Oreochromis niloticus: one gene and its partner. The protein of the gene in region 1 purifies or fractionates together with the protein of each later gene. This does not show direct contact. Links are inferred from orthologs where the notes say so. Each region holds a gene or a part of one and is shown on either strand. Other genes may lie near its edges.

Region 1 (8,050 bases):
TTTTGAAAAGTCTCAACAGGATCTTGAGCTTTATTGTGAAAGGTTTATGTGGAACATAAACAAGCGGACACGAGGTGGTTTTACCGTCGTTGTTGCTAACCACAACGCATAAAAACAGGCGCTTGTCCGTCCGTAGTGTGGTTATATTAAATATAAGAGAAAGAGAGAACTTTAAGAAATTAATATAGCCACTACAGTGACCATCAAAACGGTGAAAAAAATATTGCCGTAAACAGTTTATTTTGCGACACCACGAAACAAACGATAGTGTAAAATGAAACGATAGACATTTTTATATCGTCATCCGATATATATCGTTATATCGAACAGCCCTAGTATAAAACATCCAAAACTAAAAATATATTTCTAGTTTTAGTTATTTGACAGTATCTGTGCATAGGTTTTACAGGGCCAAGAACTTACCGTATCTTGGCCTGATATTACCGTATCAGTATATGTATTATATTGCAAAGGGACTTGTATTGTGGGCTTTCTAATCCACAGCTCTATTCAGATTTTGCAAGAACATATAAGTCAACTATTAATCAAATACTAACTTAACTCAAATACTAACTCTATTTGGACGTTTTTTTTTGGTTTTCCCTCTTTTGCTCTTCACACAGAGCATGCATTGAAAGCCTGCTAAAACGTGACTCATGAGAAAGATATGGACCTCAAACACAAAAAGAAAGAAAAAACCTTTGAGTTCTGAAAATGTTAAGACTACAAGGCTTCATATTCTTATTTCTCTATTATGAGAGTGTAACACACACTCAACACACTCACCAGTAGCATAAAGAGCATCCAGCCAAATTAGGTCCAGTCCACTTGGAATTTTTTTTTTTTTCAGATTTAACACCACTCTTTATGTTTAATGGCTATTTGTTCTTAAGGTTTATCAATAAAACAAAAACACAGTAGCAGTGCTTCCTGATTAAAGGCTTATTTTCAAACACAACACAATTTACCTGCACTCAGCAAATCAGACGGCACTACTACCAACTGAACTACAATAACTTACATCAATCTCTCCTTCATCAATTTCTCCATCATCCTCATCCTTCTTCTTGTCTCTGAAGGAGTCCTGGCGTATCCTCTCCGGCCCTTTCGACCCATCTGTCCTCCTGGATTCGCTGTGTTTAGGAGATGGTGGAAGGATTGACTTTTTCTCCTTTTTACTGCTTTTGTCCTCGCTTTCCTCCTCATCTTCATCTCCCTCTACTTTTGTGTCTTCCTCATCTTCCTCCTCGTGCGTAGGGATGCCAGGCTCCTCTGGGACCTCCTCATCATAATCAAGCTCATGTTCGTCTAGTTCCCGGGAAACTGACACAGAGTCATCCTTCACTTCCCTTAGCACAGCAGCTCTTCTTGTCTCTTCATCTCTTATTCTTCCATCCTCTTCATCTTTGTTTTTGTAATCCTCCTCCTGATCATCCCCTTCAGCTACCTCACATTCTGCAGAGGCAGCTTTTATGTAGTCATCATATCCTTCCTTCCAGTCTTCTCCATCTTTTCCAGCACTGAGGCTCTTGGCATTTTCTGGCTCAGAGTCTGGGGATAATGGAGTGCTGACAACTCTCTCATCATCCTCCTTTCTTTCCCTCTCCTCCACCACCTGAGGACTGTCTTCATTCCCCTCCATAAGCACAATGCTCTCATCATCCTGTCCCAACTCTCCCATTTCTCCAAAAGGTTCCTCATCCTCTGGCTCCGACACAAAGTCAGGCACCACCTCATCCTCCTCTTCCTCTAATTCCACATGTTTTCCATGCCCTTCCATCACTTCTATGTCCCCTTCTTCATTGAGGATCTCGCTGTCTGAAATGACCCTGTCCTCCTCTTCATTAGGAGACTCCAGCAACTCACTGTCAGAAAGACCCTTTTCCTCCTCCTCAGGAGACTGAGGGGACTGGGTAGGGCTTTCAGGAGTATCCATGTGAATCCACTCTGGTGCAAAAAAAACAACAACAAAACAGCAATCTGTCAAAAGAAAGAAAGAAAGAAAAGACAACTGTATGTCACCAGTAATCTGATAGTAATTTAACACTGTTCAATCTAATGCTACGTGCCATTTGATAATCGATTTAAAAACAGTCAGTTAAAAACAGTCAAAATTAACCAATAAAATGTCTAGAATCAAAAATTAAATTTAAAATGATGCACCACAAAAAAATGTTAATTCTGCTACCAACTGAAAGAAAGATGGTACAGTTAATTTATATAGTAATATATAACTGTCATACACCATAACGCTAAATACTTGTTTTTGTTCATTTGGTGATTGCTGACACAAAGAACGGAGAAAAACTAATTTCTATTAACTTTGATAACACCTTTCCTGAGATTGAGACGTAATTAGATGTTGGTCACAGCAGTATATGTTTTATGAAATTATAGTTTCCGGCGCTGCTAATTCACCAGCAAAGTAAACGTTAGCTATAACACGCTAACTAACAACCACCATTTAGTTTTACGTGTATATAAGTCTCCATATTGCTCCATGGTACAACTATATGTGTATACATAATTAGACAACATGCTCAAGTTTATAAAGACAGGTTTCCCTGTAGCATAATGTCACTGGTAACACTTACAATGGCTGGGTCGCGCTAGTTCGCAACAAGGCCCATAACTTGGCGGCGCGAAGACAAGGCTAATAACGAGTAAAGTGTCCCCAACCTATGGATAGTTTTCTTCAGCGATTATAAACGCTTGGCTTAACCATACAAATAAGTGGACAGTACCGGTTTAGTACGAAGCGTTCGCACCAGTACACTTGGCCGTCTTACGGTTAACAATGTAGCCTCCCCTGAAGCTAAGCTAAAAGAGCAAGTACACTGTGCTAGGAGCTAACAACACATTTTTTAATCACCTTGCCGACACGAAGCTCTATAAAGACCGCGCCTCTACCTTTTCAGCTGCACTCTCCCGCGGATAAAACTTTTTACTGTCTGCAATAAATATTAGACGGTTTTATTTTTAGCCGCTGTAGCGATGAAAATAAAGCACCCTGCACGGCCCAGCGAGAGCGGCCATTACCTCAACGTCATCAACATACGACAACCGTGTGGTTGGAACCGCGCTGAAAGCTAATCGGGGCAGACCTGAGATCAGTATGGGCCAACGTTGACAGGAGAATATCTGTAATATTTTAAGAATGTTGTTAGACATACATGATTTTTAACCAGTTACTTAGAAATCATGGAAGACATTTTTGGGGAGCAGTTAAGTCGTTCCATGTAACTATTATTTTTGATTAATGTTTTCTCTTCTATTCACTTGGTGACCTCTCATCTCTGGTGACAATAACTGTAATATGGATACAGTGTTCCACCACTAATTCTTTTTGAATTAACTATTTGAGTTAACTCATTTAATTTCATTTCTTTCAGTTCTCCATATCCAAAGACAAATTTAACTTTTTTTTAGTTCACTAAAGAATAAATTAACAACAAAGTAATCATATCAGTATTATGCAGTGACTATATGAAAGTAGATTTTCGTCACTGATGTTGATTGTTGCAGTTAATAAACTTTTTAACATAATTCTTGATCATTATTATTTTTTTGCCTTGAAAACAGCAGCTCACAACAAGATTTAAGGTCAACTTACTTAGAAGAAAACTTTGGTTTAAAGGTAAAAGCTCACAGCAAGTTGAGTGGCTGAGTGAAAAACCAGCGCTACCCCTCAGCCCCTAGTAGATGCACCTGTGGCATAAATTTGAAAATCTTAAATCAGTCTTAAATGAGTTGCTGTGTTCAACAGGCAAACCAATATGAACTGTCTAAACAAGAAAGGCCACTTTGTTTGAGCTAACTAATCGTTTGTAGATTATAAAAAATTATTTGGTTTTAGTTTGATTAAACTTAAAATGTCTGTTTATTTCCAAAAACGTCTAACTTGAAAAATTCTTGCCCATAATGAAACCAATCCTTATTTCTTCATATTTTGTTTGTAATATAGAAAATGAGCACAGTAATGTGTAAACATGAATACGGTGTAACTAGGCGGTACCAGAGTTACTATGGGAGGGGCTCAGAGTACAGCAGGAGTCTCCAACACATCACTTGCGAATGGGGCCTTTTTCAGTAGCTTGCCAAAGGGGTCAATAACAAAAGTGGTCAAGAAAATAAGAAATATAATTTGTAGGTTGGCGAAACTGGCCAAGCTTTCCATCCAATCAAAATTAAAGATACCCCTACCCCTCTTGAAATGAAACAATTATTTGTCAACTAACTGTCAATCAAAAGTTTGTGCCGGGCTGCTGTCTGCAATTGAAGCGGTTAGACGCCATATGGAGGTAGCAGGCAGACGAGGTGCCAGGCTATTAGCAACAATGATAGCAGCAGAGTTTGGTTATGCTAGTAAGAGGCAAAAAATTTATTTTCTTGAGGAGTGGGAAACAACTTTTTTTCCCACAAATGTGTGTGTGATCTGTGGCGCGAGCCTTGGTGTCTCTAAAAAAATGCAACGTGGAGCAGCATTTCACCAAAGTTCACAGCAACTTTTCCCAGGACTTTGCAGTGGGAAGCAACCTCTGCAAAGAAAAGGTAAAAGAACTGAAAACTATCCTCCAAAAACAACAATCTAAACAGCCAAAGAATGCTAGCGCATCAACCGAGGCATCATTTAAAGTGGTGCACATCCTCACCAAGCACAAAAAACCCTTCATTAATGTCGGGATCATTAAAGAGGCAATGGCCACCATGGCAGAATCATTGCGAAAATAAGACTGAGATTCTTTCTGCTATCGCTAATGTCCAGCTTGGCTTGAACACTGTCAGCAGATGCAGAGAGAAAGCTAGATTTGGACCTTAACAGGTGCTCCTGGTATTTACTTCAGCGTGTTGAGTCTGTGGACTACAGTGATACGGCACAGCTAGCTGTGCACACATGGTGATGACTTTTCCACAAAGGAGGAATTTTTGACATTGCTGCCACTGGAAACCAAGGAAGTTGACATTTACAATGCAATGAAGCGGTACTTGTTGGAAAAAAAGATTTCCATTGAAAAACTGGTTTCTGTAACAACTGATGGAGCAGCAGCCATGACAGGACATCACTCGAGATTTATTACACATGGCAAAGCGGACCCAGACTTTCCTAAATGTTTGAACTATCACTGCATCATCCATCAGCAGGCTATTTGTGCAAAAGTCACACGGAGGTCCAGTGCTGAGCAAACGTAAGATGAGAGGAGAGGATACCATACTACCAAGTGATGCTGAGTGGCTGATCTGGCTTTCCTGATGGATGTGACTGAAAAAATTAAAAAGCTGAACCAGCAGTTGCAGGATAGAGACAAAAAAGTGTGTGAAATGATCAGTGCTGTGAAGGCATTCACAGCAGATGCAGCAGCCACTATTTTGTGGTCTGTGCTTTGAGGAACTAATGTCTTGTTTATACTCCTCCTGTCTTGCCTGCGTTGTTTTGCCACAGTTACTTCTTGTCCGTGTGTCTTGCTACTTTACCTGCATCATTTGTTTATTTGTACTAGCTTGTTTAGTGATTTGCTCCACTCGCCACAGAGAGTGCTAAATGGGAATTCCTTTTTGTTGTGTTTGAGCTAGGATTACCTGTTATATCAACAGTCACTGGCACAGGCGACAGTTCACCTGTGGAGTGTGTATATGACTCTTTGGCTTGTGTATTTTATTGTAGCGTGTGTGTGTGTGTAAGACATTTTAAAACTGTATGCCTGGAGTGGATTTTAGTAGTTTTTCTTGTATGAGTCTGATGTCAAGTGTCCTATTATATTTTTGTGATTTTTAACATTCTTGCTTTTTATTTTCATGACTGAAGATAAGCCAGTAGCTGTGGGACCTTCTTGGTGGTGGGTCCTTTCCCACAGTCTCTATGTTGTGCAGCATCTTGGATGTAAAACTGGTTTTTATTATTTTAAAATCTGTATTAAAGGACTAAAGGTATTTAAATATTTTAATGGAACCAATCTGCTTCAGTGGTGCATTTTTGAAGCTGTGCAGACATTTGGTTATTTTGTTTAAATGCTTCATCTTTATATTTCCTAGGGGTGAAATTCTCCTAGGTGGCGTTGTTGCGAACTTAATCATAACCCCCCTGACCACCACACCACACTTCTGTGTTTCCCAGATTAAGTCAGTCCAGTCCAGTTCTCTTGGCTTTCAGATCTGGGTTCCAGGGTCTGCCATTCTGGACTATGGTCAATGAGCCACAGGTGTCCTCCTTACAAACCCAGTGTGTTGCCCGGAGGCTTCCATTAGGGGGTGCACTATCACAGCTTCCCAGTCTTCCCATTGCCCACTGCCAGTTTCTGTCTCATCTTTTCATTCTCCATCTCTTTGTGGATGTGTTTGTGGATGAGGCACTGTATTTACCTTTTCCAGGGGTAGTCATCCTTGGTCCCCATCAGTAGTGGGAAGTAAAAAGTACTTTACTGCTATACTTGAGTAGAATTTTCAGGTATCTGTACTTTGTTTTACTATTTATTTTTCTGACAACTTTTACATTACTCCACTATCTACATTTTTACACAAATGGCTGTACTTTCTATGCCTTAAATTTAAAAAAGGCTTGATACTTGTTACTGTTTAATGCATTTAATGCATTTGAGGAAAGTTACAGTACTTCATGATCTAGCTAACGCTACAGAACAGGCACAAGCATAAAGGGAGTAACTATTTTGGAGTGGCAGGTAATTTCAAATGTAATGTTTCTATCAGTCCAACAAAGATCAGTAAAAACACACACTCTGTGTGTGGTTATGTGCAGTTTGTTGCACAATGTGACTGCTAGCTAAATGTACAGCTGATGCATTTCCCAGGGAGAGAAAAGTGACAGATAACTTCACATGTGAGGCAGGAAAGGAAGACAGGTTATATTGGGCGATCGTGGCTCAAGAGTTGGGAGTTCGCCTTGTAATCGGAAGGTTACCGGTTCGAGCCCCAGCTTGGACAGTCTCGGTCGTTGTGTCCTTGGGCAAGGCACTTCACCCGTTGCCTACTGGTGGTGGTCAGAGGGCCCGGTGGCGCCAGTGTCCGGCAGCCTCGCCTCTATCAGTGCGCCCCAGGGTGGCTGTGGCTACAACGTAGCTTGCCATCACCAGTGTGTGAATGGGTGAATGACTGGATATGTAAAGCGCTTTGGGGTCCTTAGGGACCAGAAAAGCGCTACATAAATACAGGCCATTTACCATATTTAAAGGTTAATGCTGATCAATGACATTTTATAGACTGTAAATTTAAATTTAAATACATAATGTCCTCATTTTGTAAATCGGGTATTTACATATCTGTATGTAAAATTGTGCTTATTTCATATTATAAAACATCCTGTGGAACAAACTGACTCATACCAACATTGTGTTATTCAAAATTTGTATGAAAATACTTGGCATTTTAGATCGTGATAAACAGGTTTGTGATATTGTGGCAAATTTAAAGTAAAACACTGTGCTAGACTGGTGGCTGTTAGTTACCATACAATTCATTGTGGTAACTAACTGCAAGTTCAAATAAAAAATATCAATAAATCAAGTGCGTTTGGAAAAAACAATGAAAAAAGGCATATAAATTTGCATTATTTGCTTTATTTGCATTAAAACACGGATGAATCTAACAAAGGTGTGACAGAAATTCGCAATCAGTAGGGACCAGAGGTGGCAAAAATACAGACATTCTGTACTTAAGTAGAAATACATATACTACTACTGTTAAAAATTACTCAGTAGAAGTAAACGTTGAAGTACTGATTCAACTTTGGGTGAACCCTCTGCTCAAGTAAAAGTAAAAAAGTACAGTCTCTGAAATGTACTCAAAGCAAGAAAGTAAAAAGTAGTTCTTTGAAGGACGTTTCTGTTTACTACAAAGCTAACTGAACCTTTTGCTATATTAAAATCATGATAATATAATATCAGTAGATGGGAATACAAACTTTAGTCTAACTTTTTAAAATTCTAATTAAACTCAGGTTAAATCTGAAGAAAAAGAAGGAAAATAAAAAATGTAGCTGTTTTCTGTTGCCTACACTGTAGAGGGTGACTTTGTGTTAAATTGGATTGGTTGTAATGGC
Region 2 (7,768 bases), on another chromosome or scaffold:
CCTGTTTTCCTTCTTCACCCCAACCAGTCACAGCAGATGTCCCCGCCCCTCCCTGACCTGGTTCTGCCGGAGGTTTCTTCCTGTTAAAAGGGAGTTTTTCCTTCCCACTGTCGCCAAAGTGCTTGCTCATAGGGGGTCATATGATTGTTTTTCTCTGTACCTATGAAGTGCCTTGAGGTGACTTTTGTTGTGATTTGGTGTTATATAAATAAAATTGAATTGAAAATTGAATTGAATTAGAGAGGCCCCTTCACTGTCAACTTTTAAAACACGTCTTAAAACCTATTTATACTCCTTGGCATATGACACAGTATGACCCTGATTTTATTGTTTTAATCTAATGTGCTGATTTTATTGTTTTAAATGTTATTCTAATTACCATTTTATACTATTTTATTTATTTATTTATTTTTTTGCTATTTGTGGTTGAATTTTATTATTTTAAATGTCATTTTAATTATCATCTTTTTTATTTTTTTTATCTTTATTTATTTATTTATTTTTAACTTATTCAATGTATCATTTCTGGCATGTCAAGTGTACAGCACTTTGTGTTCAGCTGGGAGTTGTTCTGAAAGTGCTATATAAATAAATTGCTTGCTTGGTGTTCAGATTTAAGACATGAAATTTGAAGTGGGGGCTGCAGGAGGTGCCATTCCTGTAAATAAAGGAAAGCAAAGTCTGCTCCTCTTAAGGAAACTTGCTTGGCATTTAACATGCCTTGTTTGCGACAGCTTTCACAGGACCTTAGAAGCATTACTGTGATGAAAAAAAGTGGGAAAGGCTAGAAAAACTAAAGTGACCTGAATGTTCATCAGTCTACAATGAGCCAAATTGTCTGTAAATTAGGTGTAATTTAGGGCTGCTGCTCCTCTGCATTTGAGACATACTGCAGAGATCATCCCAAGGTTTCAATCCCAAAAGAGGTAGCAGCAAAACACCTGCAGACATCTCCACAAATAGGATGAAAACAGTAAGGAAACCACTGCACTCCAAAAAAACCTGCTCCTAACTATTAAGCGTGGAGGTGGTAGTCTCATGTTTTGCAACTGTGTTCTCGAGCCCATGACACCTTGCGACAGTTGAAGAAATAATGAAGTTAAATTGCATGAAGACATTTTGTCAGGACAGCAGTCCATAACCTGGAGCTTGCAAAGCAATAAGAATACGAGTTAATTAGCACCAGAAAACTGGAAGACAGTGAAACAACATTAAGGTTTTGATTAGGTTTGACACTAATCCAGCTGAGATCCTGAGGTAGGACCTTCAGAGAGATTTTTTGATCTTCACATCCTGGGAGTTTTGTATAGGAAGGAAGGCTCCACTGTTTCTCCTCAGCATTCTGCATGTTGCGTAAGCACTTATTGGCCATATCTGATTGTTGAAGGATGTTTCACAAGTTATGGAATTCAAGAGTTAATTTTTAACTCTTTCCAGCCTTTGCCATAACTTCTTAATGTGTTAAATTAAACAATGAAAAGCACAACTATGTGTGTTAATTAGCTTAGTCAGGTTGTATTCAAGTTGAGTGAAATCATCGTAATTCCAAATGATTCACAAACTCCCTTCTTGAAGCTGTGCATAGATTTTAGAAGGTCAGCTTGTCCTTCTTCCTGACACAGAAGTAAGAATGTCTCTCACTTTTGCATTGTTTGCATGTCTTTTGAGCTTGGCTAGATTAGGTTAGCAGGTGTGTTAAGAGAAGGGATATTTACATTATGATTAAATCTCTGCCAGACCCAGCAGATCTGTCAGAATGGTCCGCATCACGCATTACTCACTTTCCCTCTCTTTGAGGATTGTTTGATCATTGAAAGGCTGATTGCTCCAGCAACAAAGCCGAAACCCAGACTAAACTATCTACACAGATAATAATGCTTTGTTCTTTGGAGAACTCAAAATGTAACTACTGCATATGAAAAACCTTCAGGATCTGTTAAGAGGATGATGTCCTTGAACATACTGATTTGATTGACACACACTGGTTGTTTTTTTGTTGTTTTTTTGCTTTGACTATAACAATATGTGCTTTCACTTTATTTTTCCAGGTTCCAGGAGGTGCTGCTGAGTGGAGACCATGTGACCTCTGATGAAGATTAAAAGGCAAATGTGAGAGAAGAGTCAGCAAAGCTCCTGTTTTCCTTCTACCAGCTTTGCTTTTTATTCAATAAACCTGTGCATTTTGTGTTCATAAAACGCGATTGAAACATGTTCAGATGAAGTAAGTTGATCTCTTGGAATAATTTAATCCTTCACAATTTTGTCATTTTATTTCAACACTATTCAATAACTTTTACCCCAATACTACTTGGTCACTTAAATACTACATGTTGTCTTCATATTACATAATGTTCAACAAAGTCTAGATCCTGGTTACCATAAAAATTGAATGGGTCTACAGCAACTACCATCCTCCTATCATCTTTATCCTGGTTGCAGGGGGGCTGGGAAATAACCCTGAAGTGATAGGTTACGAGGCAGGGTACAACCTGGACAGCTCACCAGTCTATCACATAGAAACAAACAACCATTTGCACTTACATTCACGGGTAATTTAGAATCACCAGTTAACCCTAACTCTAATAACTGCATGACTTTTAACTGTGGGAGGAAACCAGAATACCCACAGAGAAACCACTGCAAACAAGCCAGAATGTAGATTTGAACCCAAGACCTTCTTACTGTGAAGCAACAGCACTAACCACCATGCCAACAATCTAGGAAATACAGGAAAACTATGATTTCCTGTATTTGATGCAGAATTTTTTTGTTTTTGTCCTTCACAGGTTAATCCACAATAAATAGCAATAGCATGCACGTGGTGTGTGTGTGTAGTTGTCTGCCTCTTATATCTCCAGTGATTTTCCTGCAGTTTGAAATCTCGTGCGATCTTGTGAATTTCATGAGTTCAGCAACTAACCACTCTGACTAGATTGTTTTATGTCATCTCAACAAGAACAAATTAAGTTGTTGAATTTCGTACAGATCCTTCATGATTTAATTACGTTCATAGAAACACGAAATTATGTTCAAATTACAAGTTAGACTTTTTTAATGTAACAACCACCCAATTTACTTTTTTCGGTATACCAAAAAAGTAGAGGCGGCTGCTCGACTTGACTGAGATGGATGCCTTCCTCAAACCACGATCCAAAGAGCACGGGACTGAAACCCGTGCAGTGTCGCGGGATTTAACATTGCTATATTATTGACTTACTTCACTTGAACATGATATGAACAATTTAATCTAGCCTCTCTGCATATCATGTAGTCTCTACACTATATAGTTACATTTAACTTTAAAGCATGAGACACTTGTTTTAAATACACGCAAGATGCTTACGTAAAACGCTGGCCAGTCCCTTTTTTTCAGTGTGTATTTGACTGTGGGCTCAATACGCTGTACCGTCTCTTCATCTCTTTTCTTAATTTCTTTAATTTTATAAAGCGGGTTTATTCACATCTGCACACTGTTTTTGTTATTTAGGGGGTTTTTTGTTCAGGAAATAATTTAGTGTGAAGTGGGAGTCAGGTCAGACTAGGATACGTTTTGTTTTTTTTGTTTTTTTAACAGTAAGAATTTGAATTATGTAATAAAATGTTTGTAAGTACTTTTGTTCTTTTAATTTCTTTTTTTTTTTTACTACTTGAAAACTACTTTAGCTAACCCCTAGTTATTTCTATTTTAATTTCAAGCAGGCTTGCAATTGTTTTTATGGTCTTCAGCAGTAGTTCTGCAGGCTTTCTGAAAGTGTTACTAGCATCCTCTTGCAAAAATGCAAATTTTGTTTTCACTCTTCTAATTGAAACTAGAAAGACCCAAAATGGAAGACTGTCATGTATTTACTTCGTCAGAGCCCAGGCCTCAACATTATTGAAGTGGTGCACAATCATCTTCACAGACAATGGAGCAAAAGGCAGCCAACATCCAAAAAAGAGAGCTCAGCTTCATTAATTAATAATAACTTTTTGTTAAGCATAAGATCAAAGTAAATTAATTCTCCCCCCCCCCCCCCCCCACACACACAGACACATTTTCTCAACATATATAACATATATAAAACAGTAAAATATTAACAAAATAAACTATTTAAAAAAATAGCAGAAGAAGAACGAAGGAAAAGAGGGGCACTGATACTTTAGTAGCCAATAATAATAAAAGTGCAGTAGCCAACAGCATGGCACCACATCTCACACAGCTCCAGCAGTCATGTGACTTACGACTCAGTTTAACAGTAGCAAGCTTTCAGTCTTTTTGTGTCCAGTTTGGACACAAGAAACAAAACGAACGACAAACTTTTAAAACTGTAATATTAATGAATAAAAACAATCTGTAATTTGGGAATAAAAGCCAAATTTGTTGTTTTATTTTTATTTATTTATTTTTGTTGACTTTGAGGTACTGTGACCTTTCATTAAAAAACATATTTTAGTATTATTTAAAAAAAAAAAAGTTGAAGTTCATGCGTGATTATGCCCTTGTACTTGTGTAATAGAAACAGGACTCAAAATAGTATTTTGATGCGTAATTAACATTTTTTAACATTTTTTTTTTAAGGTTTGGGGGTTTTATGATTTATGCAAATAGGTCTTTAAACTGTCACAGACAGTCTGCCTGCTGGTAACAGTGACTGTATCTTGGCAATGATTGAATATCAACCGATGACTGTACAAATCACTGTTATGTGTTTTCTACAGTCAGTGATACCAACAGGCGGCGCCATTAACCTGATATAGAAGTTGCTGTACCCGGACTTATTCAAAGGACGGACACATGAAACGGAAGCAACATCATCGCTTTTCCGGCATGCTCCTAGTTGAATAGCAGCAAAGCGCCTCACTGCGATTTTTTCACGATGTCTGTTAAACTAAACGCGCTAAACAGTGATTCTTACATTGACATTAGTCAATACAGAGACCAACACTTTAAGGTAAATGAGGAAGTGGTCTTTAGGAACGCGGTGACTTATCATGATTTACGGGAATGTAAATGTAATGTATCTTATAGCTAACTGTTAGCAAACAACAAAGGCGAGCGGTGCTGTGCAGTGGAGGTGACTCGGGAACAAACAGAACAGCAAAACATATCTCTGTATTTTAACCTGGCCTTAAAAAGTCCTGATGTTGTTTTATGATGCTTCGTTAGGACTAAAGCGTGGCTAACTTATAAATTAACTCCTTGCTTCAACACAGGTCGTTTGATCGCTATAATGTCAACTTCTTGAGAGCAATTTTTTTAAACATTTGTAACGTTGCTTGTGCTTTTAGGGTAATCGCTATGAACAGGAGAAGCTTCTGAAGCAGAGCAACACTTTGTATGTGGGCAATCTCTCCTTCTACACCACCGAGGAGCAGGTAAGACACAATACCTTCACCAGTTAAAGTAATAACCCGGCTTTATTGGAAAGTTGCTTAATTTTTTAAAATAAAATTCTTCAAAGAGACCAATATGATGGGGGAAATGGCTGACTGAGCTACTAATAGATTAGGAGACTCATTTATAAAACAGTACATGTCATCTGCCTGATAAACAAACATGTTTAGTCAAATATTGTCCTCTAGTTATGCCACCAAAACACCACTGGCATTACACATAAGCTTCAAGTGTTTATATGTTCAGAGCAATCACACAGATTCCACTGATGTGTTGTCTCAGTGGAAGTTTTAATAGGTGAATTTGATACATTTATGAATTTAAGCCTTTTTTGAATTATGAAAAAAAGCTTATTTTGATTGTAAAACGCGTCAGACTATAAATTTACAGTCCATATGTGCAGGTGTTGACTGCACATATAGACTGACTAGAGTAGGTAGGTAGGGCATGTGTGTGACAGGCGCAGCAGTGCACTCGATGTTGGGTGGCTGTAGTTCAGGAGTTGGAGCAGGTTATCTACTAATTGGAAGATTGTTGGTTTGCCAAAGTATCCTTGGGCAAGATGCTGAACCCCAAGTTGCTTTCTAATTGTGTGTGACTGTGAGGTAGAAAGTGCTTGTATGAATGGATGAGTGAGCCATGTTGTGTGCCTGAAAAAAGTCATGTAAAGAATGGCATTTTAGCTGTTCTGAGCTTCACAGCAGCTTGACACTTTCAGCGGCACTGCACTGAAGCTGTCTTTGTGTTCAAGGGTTGGAAAATTTGATGGAAAAAACTGAACGTCAATGTGTCGCACATAAAATATATGTCAAAAACACATAATAGACATATTTTCAGTGTTGATTTTTCTGATAGTTTATCACAAGAGAAGTCCCAGAGTTGGGAAATTCACTGCAGATATTTTGTTAAATTTTCTCAAGTTTTCTAACTTTTTTTGCCACTGTGAACAGGTACACGAGCTGTTTTCTAAAAGTGGAGATGTCAAGCGTATCATCATTGGCCTCGACAAAATCAAGAAGACTGCTTGTGGGTTCTGCTTTGTCGAGTATCCTTCAAAAATGTTTAATTCATGCTAAAAGAAACTGTCAGTAATTTGACTGCCTTCAGAATAGGGCTGGGCGATATGGCCTAAAATCCATATCGCGGTATAATTTGAAGCACGTGCGGTAACGATATATATCGCGATATATTCTTTTCTTCTGTATAACGTATTTTCCACACTATGAGGCGCACTTAAAATCCTTTAATTTTCTCAAAAATCGAGAGTGTGCCTTATGTATGAATTCTGGTTGAGCTTACTGACCTCGAACCTAGTTTCCACCTAAACATGACATATCATGTTCTGACTGAGAGATTTTTGAAGCTAATTAAAACGTACAGCTCTGCTACCAGTTCCAACATAAATGAAGACAGAAAACAAACAGCAGTGGCGTTTGCAGGGTTACTGAAGTTGGACTACCTGGTATATAATGTTGTGCTACGTGATTGCTAGCGACACAGCTATGTTAGCATAATATTAGCACAGTGAAGCTGGAGGATGAACGCCAACTTTTTTTCCACTCGATAAAAGTTAACGTGAGGGTTTCTGGTGGTTAGGGACAAAGGCAATCGCATGGCAGGATGCTATACACGGGCCAAACTTCAGTCAGGAGAACAACTGAGATAATCCATCCACAATACAAGGTTAGTTATTAATATACTGCAACAACATGGGAATAGAACAGCTGCGAGAGAATTCAGCATTAATGAATCAATGTTACGGAAGTGGAGGAAGCGCAGTTTTTGGCTTTCCCCATATTTCAAAAGTGCTTCATCTCTTTGCTATGACTGTCACCCGGCATAATTTGCAGATGATTATGGTTGTAGCCGCTGCGATGCTTTCGACCAAAACAGGCGCAGCTTGATGACATCATCAACATGCGCTATCGCGGTAGAGCGGTATAGTCAAAATCTCTATCATTGGCCAAATTTATGTCGTTTCTATCGTATATCGTTTCTATCGCCCACCCCTACTTCAGAATCACCTTCAGAAGTTACCAGAACATCATGAATTGCACGTGTTGTGCCTTAACGCTGTCCCAGATACTACACCCGTGCAGATGCAGAGCATGCCATGCGCTTCATTAATGGCACACGGCTGGATGACCGCATCATCAGGACAGACTGGGATGCCGGCTTCAAGGAGGGAAGACAGTTTGGTCGTGGCAAATCAGGAGGACAGGTGAGGGTTAGGATATGAGTACTTTAATAAATGGAAGCAACCTGCTGTGGATGCCGACTGCTGGTTTATTTATTTATTTTTATTGGAGCAAACTACAAAGCTAAAAGTTAGTTCTGTGAGTAACTGCACTCGTATTTGAATTAATCCAAAAAGATATTAACCCACGACTAAAG

What was found.
Region 2: the proteins of zc3h18 (region 1) and ncbp2 purify together in Homo sapiens (co-immunoprecipitation; 3 studies listed by BioGRID and IntAct, with this or other methods). This does not show direct contact. The link is inferred for Oreochromis niloticus from reciprocal best matches to the Homo sapiens genes ZC3H18 and NCBP2.

What each region holds. Positions count from the first base shown.
Region 1 is NC_031972.2:38,979,209-38,987,258, forward strand, and holds the start of zc3h18 (zinc finger CCCH domain-containing protein 18), read right to left. Parts: upstream 3,050-8,050; 5' UTR 2,911-3,049; exon of another isoform or gene 2,595-2,910; intron 1,981-2,594; 5' UTR 1,937-1,980; coding exon 1,022-1,936; intron 1-1,021.
Region 2 is NC_031981.2:31,413,990-31,421,757, reverse strand, and holds the start of ncbp2 (nuclear cap-binding protein subunit 2), read left to right. Parts: upstream 1-4,755; 5' UTR 4,756-4,856; coding exon 4,857-4,931; intron 4,932-5,268; coding exon 5,269-5,355; intron 5,356-6,324; coding exon 6,325-6,419; intron 6,420-7,456; coding exon 7,457-7,595; intron 7,596-7,768. UniProt on the Homo sapiens protein: Component of the cap-binding complex (CBC), which binds co-transcriptionally to the 5' cap of pre-mRNAs and is involved in various processes such as pre-mRNA splicing, translation regulation, nonsense-mediated mRNA decay, RNA-mediated gene silencing (RNAi) by microRNAs (miRNAs) and mRNA export.